Linked DNA regions of Drosophila melanogaster. The protein of the gene in region 1 interacts with the protein of each later gene in a pairwise test. Each region holds a gene or a part of one and is shown on either strand. Other genes may lie near its edges. The genes, in order: Ube4B and CG7849.

The links.
Region 2: the proteins of Ube4B (region 1) and CG7849 interact in a two-hybrid assay, tested with the Drosophila melanogaster proteins (one large-scale study listed by BioGRID).

What each region holds. Positions count from the first base shown.
Region 1 is NT_033779.5:13,013,404-13,021,317, reverse strand, and holds the start of Ube4B (ubiquitination factor E4B), read left to right. Parts: upstream 1-1,883; 5' UTR 1,884-2,528; intron 2,529-3,140; 5' UTR 3,141-3,261; coding exon 3,262-3,489; intron 3,490-3,656; coding exon 3,657-5,063; intron 5,064-5,131; coding exon 5,132-5,703; intron 5,704-5,817; coding exon 5,818-6,214; intron 6,215-6,279; coding exon 6,280-6,392; intron 6,393-6,642; coding exon 6,643-6,967; intron 6,968-7,026; coding exon 7,027-7,369; intron 7,370-7,434; coding exon 7,435-7,703; 3' UTR 7,704-7,914. Other genes in the region: CG9933 (uncharacterized protein), read left to right, coding at 140-1,087, 1,392-1,520, 1,589-1,642.
Region 2 is NT_033778.4:6,075,057-6,078,846, forward strand, and holds CG7849 (uncharacterized protein), read left to right. Parts: upstream 1-1,853; 5' UTR 1,854-1,919; coding exon 1,920-2,049; intron 2,050-2,104; coding exon 2,105-2,317; intron 2,318-2,366; coding exon 2,367-2,977; 3' UTR 2,978-3,032; downstream 3,033-3,790. Other genes in the region: l(2)k09848 (lethal (2) k09848), read right to left, coding at 8-1,058, 1,115-1,202.

The DNA.
Region 1 (7,914 bases):
TGTCGGTACGGTAACACTGAGAAAGCCGTTTTGTTGAAAGATTACAAATGAATTGCGATGCATTTAGCTAAAATTGAACTTTAGCAGAGCCGCAAAACGATAGAGAGCCAACGCAGAGAACACGGAGCCACCCAAACACATGGATACCAAGTCCAATGATGACTCGGCTGGCAGTGACTCGCTGGACAAATCTATGCAAATCAAGTGTGTGATGGTGGAGACAACGACGACGGGCGACGGAGACTCCACAGTCGGAGATCTGGACAACTGCAGCAGGGATTCCGCTGCGGAATCGATTAACAAGGAATCCGGTTCGATGGAGGGAGCCGGCAAGCAGACGGATCACAAGACTGAAGCTGCGGCGGGGTCGTGCGGCGAGGGCGACAGTCCGCAGAGCAGTCAATCCCCACCAGAACATCCGGCCAGCAAATCGCCCACATCTCCATGCACTGCCTTCGAGACGAAAGTCAAGCTTATATCACAGAACCTCAAGGAAACCACGCTGGCGGAGAGCACCGGCGCCTCCGTATCAGCATCCACATCCACATCAACACCCACGTCCGCCTCTAGTAGCATCAGCGGCAGCATGCTGGAGTCGCAGCAGACACCCAGCCAGTCCACCCCCGAAACAACAGATTCCGCCTCGTCGTCCGTGCGCGTGAAGAAGGTACGCTTCCATCCGGACGTCAAGGAAAACGACGGCGGGAACTGGATGAAAAGAAAGCGACGCTCCATGCATACCAAACGAACCTCCTCGCCCAGCGGCGCTAACTGTGATGGCATGGAGCTGGACGGTGAGTACGAGGACAACGATGACGATGAGCAGGAGGAGGCGGAGGAGGAGTTCGATCTGGCCAAGACAATCGCCGAGGCGGAGGATTACCTCAAGCAGCACCCGTTGACATACGTGCAGCGCGTCGAACAGAACGGCGAGCGGCTGCAGGATGGACTGCTCAGCATCGAGGATATGCTAAACGAAGTCGGCGAGGAGGTGGTCACCGAGTACAACGACGAGGACTTCTTCAGACGCATCAAGCCCGAGAATGGCATTGAACGCATTCTGGGCAAGGAGACCAAGGCGGGAAAGGTACGTTTGCAATACGAAAGCAATAAACTATCAGTACGGTTTAGGGTTCACAAATTTTCTATGAATTCGATTACAGTTTCATTTACAACACATTGTTGGTTTATTCATATCATATTTAGTAAACAAAAATTCTAAGCTGGAAAAGGTTTGCTATATGACTTTTGCTTTTACAAAATAAATAAGCCAAAGATCAGCTTTCTTTACTTTGTAAAGCGAAGGAAAACTTTTAAACAGTCTGAATCTTATGTAGTTTGCCCTCTATCCCAATTGTAGGTATCATTTAATAACCTTAATATCCTTGCAGGTTGAATTCCTTCTGCGCTACGAGAACCAAGGCGGACTCTTCTGGCAATCGGAGGAGTTCATCAAGCGCACGTGCCCCTCGCTGCTCAAGGCCTACGAAATGAATCGAGAACGACGTCAGCAGCGCTTGGTTAGTCCTTATCCTAATTAAAACCACATATAATGCCAGTTTGTAATTCAAATGCTTGTGTTTTGCAGATGCATCACGTTGCCAAAAGGCAGAGTCTGCGACAGCGATACACGGATTTCTAGTAGCGGTTACTTAGGTATTAGGTTCATAATTAGGTTCCACATAATTGTAACATTTTTGTAAAATGAAGTAAATGATTTTCTTTTGTTGAACAAAAATAACTAAACAACACTTGCTTTTCATTATGTGTCATGAGGAATATAACCATTTTGGTAGGCCTAATTTTTGATTTCCCATCGTTAATCAGTTCGCACCTAGTAATTCAGCGATATTTAAATATTTTCAAACGACAAACAAACAATAGTTTCAGATATTTTCAAACTAGTTCTCTTAGAGCAAAAAGGATATATAAATTGGGTATAGATGCTTAGAGAACATTATTGCAATTAAAGGCAAAAACAAAAGTGCAAATTTAAAATTACAAATAGTATTCAAATGATTCACAACTTTTCGGATGTTTAACGAAATTTTAAATTCGATAATGAAATCATAAAAATATGAGGGCCCTGCAAGGGTTAAAGCAACTATCGGCGAACATTCCATCTTTAAGTGTGACCACGCCGCGGCCAGTGTGACTGTCGGCCACCAGACCAAACTGAAACACTGTTCGTCGACTGACGCGAAACCCAAAAATTATAAGTAATTCAATTGGAGGAAAGTTCGGAGGTCTGTATTTCTTGAGCCCATCGCCTGGCCAGTGAAGCATTTGTGTCGATATACGGATCGCATTCGGGCGATCCCCACATAGATATAGCCAGCCGAGGGCCGATAACCAATCCCCACGAAGCTCGCAGAACAAAAGAGAAATTTTTTGCGTGGTCACCACCAGACGTGGAATTGTTCGGGTGAATTGTCGAAACCATATAGAGTTCCGTAAAATGCAATAGTTACGGGCCGTAGCACAACCAATACGTTTTGCAGCAGGTGAAAGTCGGTCCGTAGAGTCAGGTAAGTGCGAATATATGTGCGGCGCAATCCTCGATTTTCCGTATTTCACACACCCTCACATCGAACCTATGTCCGATTATATATCCCACGATTTTGTGTACTTTATCCGCCGTCTCAAATGCGCAAATGAGCTGGTGATATCCCGTGCCGATCCGATCCTATTCGATCGGCTATCCCTAAACATTATATAAGGTTTCGCCATCCGATTCCGCATATGTTATGATATTGTTTACTGCACTTGTTTTGGGTGCAGTGCAGCGCCAGTGCTCGAGAAATCCTCTTCTAAAAATAGTTGCAGCCGTGCACTTTTTGTCAACCTCGGCCGATCTGCGTCCGCTTTTGATTCGCACACTGACTGTGTGCGGCAGGTCAGTTGTCCTGGTATGCTCCCAGCTATGCTGCACATCATCCATCTAGTGCGTAGTTGCGTAGCACAAAGAGAAACGGCCAATCCATCTGGTTTTGGCGATGGCGGCATTGTCTTCGCGTGAACTTGACGTTGACCGCTGGACTTTGTTTTAATTTTCTCTTTATTTGTTATTTTATTTATTTGTCGAGTGCGCGTGCTTTTGTTTGGTTCATTAACCCACATCATCGCCTCTTATTTTGCAGCAGCATCAGAAGAAGCGGCGGAAAAACTACGCCACAAACAAACAAAAACAGTGAGAGAGGCGAAAACAGATTTGGTAGCACAACTGCGCATTGTTTCCCAGAGTACCAGCGGATCCGAGAAATGCCGGAAGAAGAGCCGCCACAAAAGCCCATGGAGGAGGAGGAGGATGATGATCAGGAGCAGGATCAGGATCAGGACCACGAACAGGATCAGCACGAACAGGATCAGCAGCCCCAGTTAGCGCAGGGCGAGATACCCGGTCAGCAACTGCCTGAGCAACCCAACCCCGATGTGCAGCCGCAACAGCCGGCCGAGTCTGTGGTGGTCACCGAATTATCCGCAGAAGAGGTATATCGTTTTCGCAAACTTAATGAAGCAACAAAATATCATATTTAAAGTTATCTAAATCAATAATACAAGTAAACTATTTTGTAAAAGGAAAACGAACTTTAAACTATGATATACTTTAATTGGTAACAGCTAAATTGGTGAACTAACCTCTTTAATTCTTTCAGATGCGCGCCCGTCGTCTTCGGACTTTGGCTGCCCGAAGTGGCATCCAGTGTGCCCTGGCGCCCCTGACTACTACGCCACGGAAGCCGACCAACGTCTCTGGCGAGTCTCGACTGGTACGTGAGGCCACGCCCGGCGAAAAGGAGGTATCGCTGCCCACTTCGGCGCCCGCTTGGAGGGAACTGAGCGGAAAACCGGACATGGATGTGGAGATGAAGTCGGTGGTCTCGACACCAATGCAAGATGTGGATATGACGACAGCGCTCAGCCTGCCAACAGCCGAGGCCACCAAAAGGAGTGTGTTGCAGAGTTGCAAGATATCCGCTGGAAATGCCGAGTTGTCCATTGAAACTGTAGTCGGTCCAAAAAAAAGTGCGGATGAGCAAAACGAACAATTGCTCTCCCGCCTACTGAATGCCACGTGGAATGAGTACGGTAGCGGGTCCATCATTTGTGCCCAGAGTGCCAGCTTCCTGGAGCAGCAGCCACACCGCAGATTCGACTTCGAGTGCATTGTGGCCAATGTGCTCATGGAGGCTGTTTTGAAGATCTACAACGGTGAGCTGATCGAAGGAGATGGCGTTTCTGTTAAAGCGGACGATAAAGAGTTCTCCTCTGCCAAGAAAATTAAATCAGATGATACGGAAGTACAGGAAATCCTTGCCAACGCAGTAGCCACCGGTGGAGCAACTGCCAGCGGAGAAACTGCGGCTGCGGCTGCTGGCGCATCTGGACCAATTGAAGCAACTAGTAGCGAGGCAGCTGGTACTTGCGTGGCTCCACCAGTGCTTAGCATCGTTGCCACCACCAAACACCACGTGCTGCTCTATTTAATCCGTTGCTACCAGAACTATCAGACAGAGTGCTCCCGAAAGACGCCGCTCACCCAGCCTGCTCTGCAGCTGGCGTTTGAACAGGTGATGCGAATGACCGTCTTGGTGCTCACCGATCGCATTTACCAGAATCTCAACGGCCACATGGATCAGTCTGCTCTGCTGGATCTGATGTACATGGCCAAGGTGAGCGAGCCTTTCCTCATCGACTTGATAGCCCACACTCACCAGGATCGCGAAGCATTCGACACAATTTTCAGTCAGGTGCTTCGTGGCCTCTTTGCCGGAATGCAGCGCAATATCTGCACTTCCAAGATCAGTGTGCAGCAAATCGAATGGCTGTCCAAACTGGTGGTCATCAAGGTGGGCAGTGTGCGACCCATCGCAGATCTCGTATCCAGGCAGCCCAACTTCCTGCCACCCATCTGCACAAAGATCTCCGGTCGAGAAATAGTAAAATGCAGCTTTCTGGGACCCTTCCTTTCCGTGTCGCTGTTCGCTGAGGAGAACATCAAGTTTGCGGAGTTTACCACCAAGAACAAGCTTGAAGATGCATCCAGCTCTCGATTGCGATGGGTGAGTAACTAATTACTAATGTAATGTTAAACATAATGTAATCATTGAATGAATTCTTAATATTTTAGGAGCTGCACTCAATGCGCACCAATATGCACGTAGTGTTCCATTCACTGTGCGTAAATGCTAGCAGTCGTCCCAAGACGCTGGAATACATCGCCAGTATCCTTCGGCACAACGATCGTCGTGTGCAGTTCGCCAGCGACGAAAAGCTGCTGGCCAGGGACGGTTTTATGATTAACCTGATGAGCGTGCTGCAGCAGCTGTCGGTGAAGATCAAGTTGGACCGCATTGAGCCAAATTTCCATTACTACAAGAACTCGCTCGTTAACATCGAGCAGGACACGAAGATTAGGTACAGCGAGGAGGAGTACCGCAACTTCCTGGCCCGTGATTTTAGCCAGCCCGTGGAGAACACAAACTTCCAGACGCAGTGTTGGTTCCTCACCCTACAGGCCCATCATCTGGGCTACCTGCCTGCCATCCAGCGCTATCGCCAAAAGGTGCGCGCCATTAAAGAGCTGCAGAAACTCATCGACGAACTGGACCGTACCAAGTCCCATTGGATGAACTCCCGCTACGCCAATCGTAATAATCAGTTTAAGGAACGCTGGGAAAAGCAACTGCGAAAGCTAAATCGGTGGGTTATTTAAAATCATTTCATCATTTTGTGACCTTCACACGTTTAGTGAGTCACTTCCACTTAAGTGTGACACATCTTTGAATCTAATTTGGTATCCCTTCCGAATTTTAGATCAAAAACCTGCTGCGAGATCACTCTTTTGGATCCGGGCCTGCTCCAGCGCTGCACGGAATTCTACTCTACTGTCTGCGAGTTCATGCTATACCAGTTCGAGGGACGCCCGATCGAGGGACCCTTCATCTCCAAACTGCCCGTGCAGCAGCTATTACCAACGGATGCATTTTCCGCACTGCCCGAGTGGTACATCGATGACATCGCTGAGTTCATCCTGTTCACCATGCAGCATGCCAACATGGACATCCGTCAGGGCATCGACCACTCGATCATCACCTGGCTGCTGACCTGCGTCTGCGCATCGCACCTCATCAAGAATCCATATGTGACTGCCAAACTGGTTGAGGTGATGTTTGTGTTCTCCTTGAAGCCAGCCAACTCGGTTAACGCGGCGGTAGGTTCCGGTTACAATCGCCTAAGTGTCATACTTCTAAAGCTTTGTTTGTGTGCTCCAAACAGATGTGGAACCATGAGTTGGCCCAGAACGCCCTGGTCAGCTCACTGATGAGATTCTATGTGGACGTAGAGACAACGGGCCAAAGCACTGAGTTTTACGATAAGTTTACCATTAGGTGAGCATGCCAACCGAGCTACCTTCATAATTTAGAATGAGTCATAACGGCGGTTACGCACCCTCATTGTGGTAACCCAGCACGGAAAAGTTCCAAAAGTTATTTGAGGCGTAGATAAACACTCTTTTATATACAGCTAAATGATCTGGGCAATACAAACATGAATATATACATATTCGTATTTCATACTAATACGCTTAATGTATGATTTACAAACACGTGTAATTAATCAAATATTATTCCTGTACAGATATCATATTAGCCATCTGTTCAAGTCCATGTGGGAGAACCCCATCCACCGGCAGGCCGTTATTTGTGAATCCCGGGTGGGAAATCAGTTCGTAAAGTTTGTCAATATGCTGATGAACGACACCACCTTTTTGCTGGACGAGTGCTTGGAGAACCTGAAGCGCATACATCAGACCCAGCAGCTGCTATCAGATAAGGCCAATCTCAGCAAGATGAGCGCGGAGCAGCAGCAGAGCCGACTTACTCAGCTGGCGACGGACGAGCGCCAGTGTCGCTCCTACTTGACCTTGGCTCGCGAGACAGTCGATCTGTTTCACTATCTGACAGTGAGTGGAGATAGAGTGTGGAGAGTGCTTATTAAATTTAAACCTATTATCAATTTTAGAGCGACATTAAGGAGCCGTTCATGCGCGACGAGCTCGTAGATCGACTGAGCTCCATGCTGAATTTCAATCTGAAACAGCTGGCCGGGCCCAAGTGCAACGACCTGAAGGTCAAGAACCCGGCAAAATACGGCTGGGAGCCACGCAGTCTGCTGGCCCAGATCTTCGACATATATCTCCACCTGGACTGTGATAGATTCGCTGAGGCCCTGGCTGCCGACGAGCGCTCCTTCGACGTTCAAATCTGCAATGAGGCAGCATCGAGGATAAAGCGACTGGCCCTCCGATCGGCGGTAGAGGTAGAGCGATTCAAGGCGCTCACACAGAGAGCTCACGAAATCTATGGTAAGAACTTAAGAAACAACTAAATAAATCGGATTGAAATGCAAATGCAAACGTTTCCCTTGCAGTTACCAACCTACAGACTGAAGATGAATGCGCCGACGCACCCGATGAGTTCAAGGATCCGCTGATGGACACGCTAATGTCGGACCCCGTGGTGCTTCCCTCCGGCACGGTGATGGATCGGGCGATTATTACCCGCCACTTGCTCAACAGCTGCACGGACCCGTTCAACCGACAGCCACTCACCGAGGACATGCTGGTGGCCAACATTGAGCTGAAGCAGCGCATCGACGCCTGGCGCAAGGAGCAGCGTGGCAAGCGGAACAATTGCTAAGTCGCGCACCCTTTAACCCATACTGCTATACTTAGGACTAGTTTAATGTGCAGTTTTAGTGTCTACCTATCTTCTACATATAAATATAAATATTCTTTGTGCAGGATTTAGTTTATTTGTGGTGCCCCCGATTTTTGGGTGGCCTGCAAGTAGCAGTTACCATTAATCACCGCTCCCGTTAGGAGTCCTAATAATTTAGATGTTTGAAAAA
Region 2 (3,790 bases), on another chromosome or scaffold:
AACTTACCCCACAGTGGGCATCTGATCAAACATATCCTCGTATTCATTGTCCACAGATGTTGCGTTGACGCTCTTATTTTCACTCACGTTTCTATCCATTTGAAGGTCAGCGACCTCCTCAGGTTCTTCTGTTACTCGTGCCTCGTTTTCAAACGGTCGGATAAGAATCTTAGTGGCCTTTGATTTCACGTAGCATTGGTAGAGCAGCACTGTGGTTTCGGAATCATGGATACGAACGTATCGGTCTAGGCTTGCAGAGCTCAGAAAGCGACCGGTGGCATCTAAATGAAGGTCACTTATCCCGCCTGTGAATCCCTTGTACGTATGCACATGAGTTTTCATGCGTCGAGTGTCAAAGGCTTTTAGAGCACCCATTGTGGTACCCGTGTAAATAAAGTTTCCCTTTGCCACTAAAGTCGTAAAACTCATCCCGTGCTCCTCGCTGGCAAAACATGCAACAGGTCGACGCTGCTTACGCGTGTCATAGATGCGAACATAGCCGGTTCGCGAGCAAGTGGCCAGTACACTAGGCCCATCCACAAAGCCGATATCGCTGTCCCAAACCGGAACCTCTAGCTGCAGATAGTCGTTGGGCAAATTCTTCGAGGTGAAAATCTGCTTACCGTCGGCATTTAAATCGTAGACCTTTAGATTGTTTTGACGCTCTTTGCCGCCAGTTGCTACAATGCTTTTGACTTGGGCGCACTGGCGCAGGTGGTCCATTTGGTCACCCGTGGCGATAACCACGGGCTCGGACTCGTCGTTCGCCTCTAGCTCCAGGCTCTGTATCTCTCCGTTGCCAATGCCGGCAATAAGCTTGTCATTGTATCGGGCCAGACCAACAATTGGCGCAGCATTGAAGGATACTGTGTTCCTAGAATGTCCCTTTTCTGTGAAGGAGTGAATCTCCACGGCGTCCTTGGCCCGGCCTAGAAGGATCTCCGTCTGATCGTCGTTGCCAAAGGCCAGAGATGTGACGCGGGAATCCTTATCCAGGGCGCACAGATCACTCAGGTTGCTTTGTCCATAAGGGGTCTTCTCGGATGCAGGCACCAGGTCTAAAAAGTTGAAGTCATTATTATTATGCTGTTCGATAAAGAACAAGCGGACGTACGTTTAAAGGAGCCCGTGTGTGTTCCCACATACAGTTCGTGCTTCGCCGTGTAGTTTACATGTTTGGTATTTGCAGTAGTCCACTTCATCTCAAGACGCGGTTTCTCTCAATACTTGCGATTAAAACGTGAATTAATGGTATGCGGCTATACAAATTCGTGCGGTCAAAACAAATCCTACACGTGCAATAGAGATGTAAAAGACATATGCTTAATAATCGATGTTATCGTTTATATCGATATCTAACGGCCACCGATATTTTAATAACATTTAGGGTAGTCACTAGGCTTCAGTTTGCTGTTTACCAGTTTAAAACATTTTTTTCGTTGAAAACCACTTCTCTTGTGAGAATATAGTGATACGCATAAGACTTTATTTGATTATAACTTCTTTAAGTGCAGTTTTGTTGTCATTTTAAATGCAAGCAAATAGTATGCAAGCCACAGTGAGAATATTCCCGTGAAATTTGTAAAATTTATAGAAAATTTTAGCCCAATCGGATTTGTTTCTTGTTTTTTCGTGCGGTGGACTTAATTCTTGTTTTGCAGTGATACAAGCATGTTTTTTTGCGGGTATAAAGACCACAACGTTTTGAGAATTATTTCCAACTAAACTTTTTTTTAGAAAATTAAAGAGATATTTGAAAACAACATTTTATATGTAAATTTTATAAATTAAGTTTCAAGTGCATGTCTATACCCTATTCAGTACTGGGCAGCACATGTGCTCAGCTGTTCGTGTGTGTTCACCAACACTGTCATGTGAATTTAAAAACAAATAGCGCACATACGTAACTTAAAGCAGAAATGGCTCTCACCAAAGTTTATGATGCCGCCACAGTGTTTAAGCACATGAATGGCATTCTAAATGTGTACAAGCCATCCGGTATGAAGGTGAAACACGTGCGCAATGCTATTCTGAGCAACATTTGCAAGGGTAAGCCTAGCGCCATTTAAAGAACAAATTGAAATTAAAAACAGATCTGCAAAAGGACTCAACGAAATGGAGCAGAGGAAACCACGCAAGTTGCAAGAGAACATTAGCCTCCTGGGCACAGGCACTGCAGCAGATCACGTACTACATAACATAGGAGAGCAGACGGATCTATCCGACCACCTTCTGTCCACCGGACCGCGGTACCTTCCGCGAGACTTGATCTGCACCACAGTGTCCAGCCTGGGCGATCACACCAGCGGAGTCCTGCGTAAGTCATGTAAAACATTTTAAATCCAGATCTAACCATACTTTTGTAGTCTTTGGGATCAACAGGGGAGCAGGCCAGTCTAGTTCTATTCGGAAAAATCGACCAGTGCGGGTCTACCATCTAATCGGGCACCTAGGCATCGCAACCGAAAATAACCTACCAGACTCACGGGTCATAATGCGCTCCAATCACCGACACGTGTCCGCAGACAGGATCAGCAGTCTAGCCGCCTCCATGCAGGCATCCCATCAGCGTAAGATGTTTGAGCTCTGCGGTGTCGATTTGCAGACCCAGGAGGCCTATGAACTGGCCTGTAGGGGTCTCCTACGCCCAGCGGACGACAGTCAGCCCGTCGTCTACGGCATTAAGCTGATTCACTTCGATCGACCGCACTTCACCCTGGAACTGCACGCCATCAACGAGACGCAGGAGTACTTAGCTACGCTAGTGCACGATATGGCTTTGGACCTCCGAACCGTGGCGCACTGCTCCCAACTACGCTGCGTGCGGCATGCCCATTTTGATGTGACAGATAGTCTGCTCAGACACGCCTGGCACTTGCCAGGAATTATCAAGAACCTCCGTCAACAACGTGACATCCTGAGGGCGCATCCACAGCTTCTGCGACAACAGCGAGTGGAACTGCGAGCTACAGATTAATTTAGGAATTCATTGTAATTGAATATAGTCAAATAAATATAGGCAGATAAACTATAAAGCAGTCAATCAGGTCAATAATTCTGGTAATAATTTTTGATAAGAATATGCAGAATATCTGCTTATTTAAGTCAGCATAGTTTATTGACGGTTACAGTTCAAAATAGGTCATTTATAAAAAAAAAACGTAAGACTCTAGTTTAGTAAAAGTAAGATGTTTAAAACGTGATCTTATTAGAAGCGGTAGCCAAAAACCATACATTTCACAAATTTTTTTTGAATTAATTCTAAAAACAAGGGAGATTGCTATAGTTGATAACCTCGACCCATCGAAGGGTCAGTTGTTCCAAATTATGTAAACTAATTTCTTCGGTGCTCAATATCATTAAGAAGTGATTTTTTTCAGGAAATGTGTCATATACCAAACCTTGTGAATTTCAATGGTCACGCAGTTGGTAATTTAAAGAGAAATAGGTAAAATTTGAAAATAAGCTATATAATTATAGCTCTACAAAGACATTTAGGTTCAGTAGGAAATAGATATTTATAGCTGTTTTCCCGGTTATCTAGCGGATTTTTCCAAAGAATCAAAAATAGCGCACATGTTTTTATTTTAAAATCTTATTTTATATATATCTTATAGTTTTTATAAGCAACCCAACAAAAATGTGTATTTTGAAAAGATTCCTAGTCTCGTTTTACAATTTCTTTTGAACGGCGCTTCATTGGATTTTAACAAAGTGTGATTTGTTTTAACAGCACCTAACAGCATCCGGTGTTCAAAATGTTCACTTGTACCACTTTCGCCGATCTAGA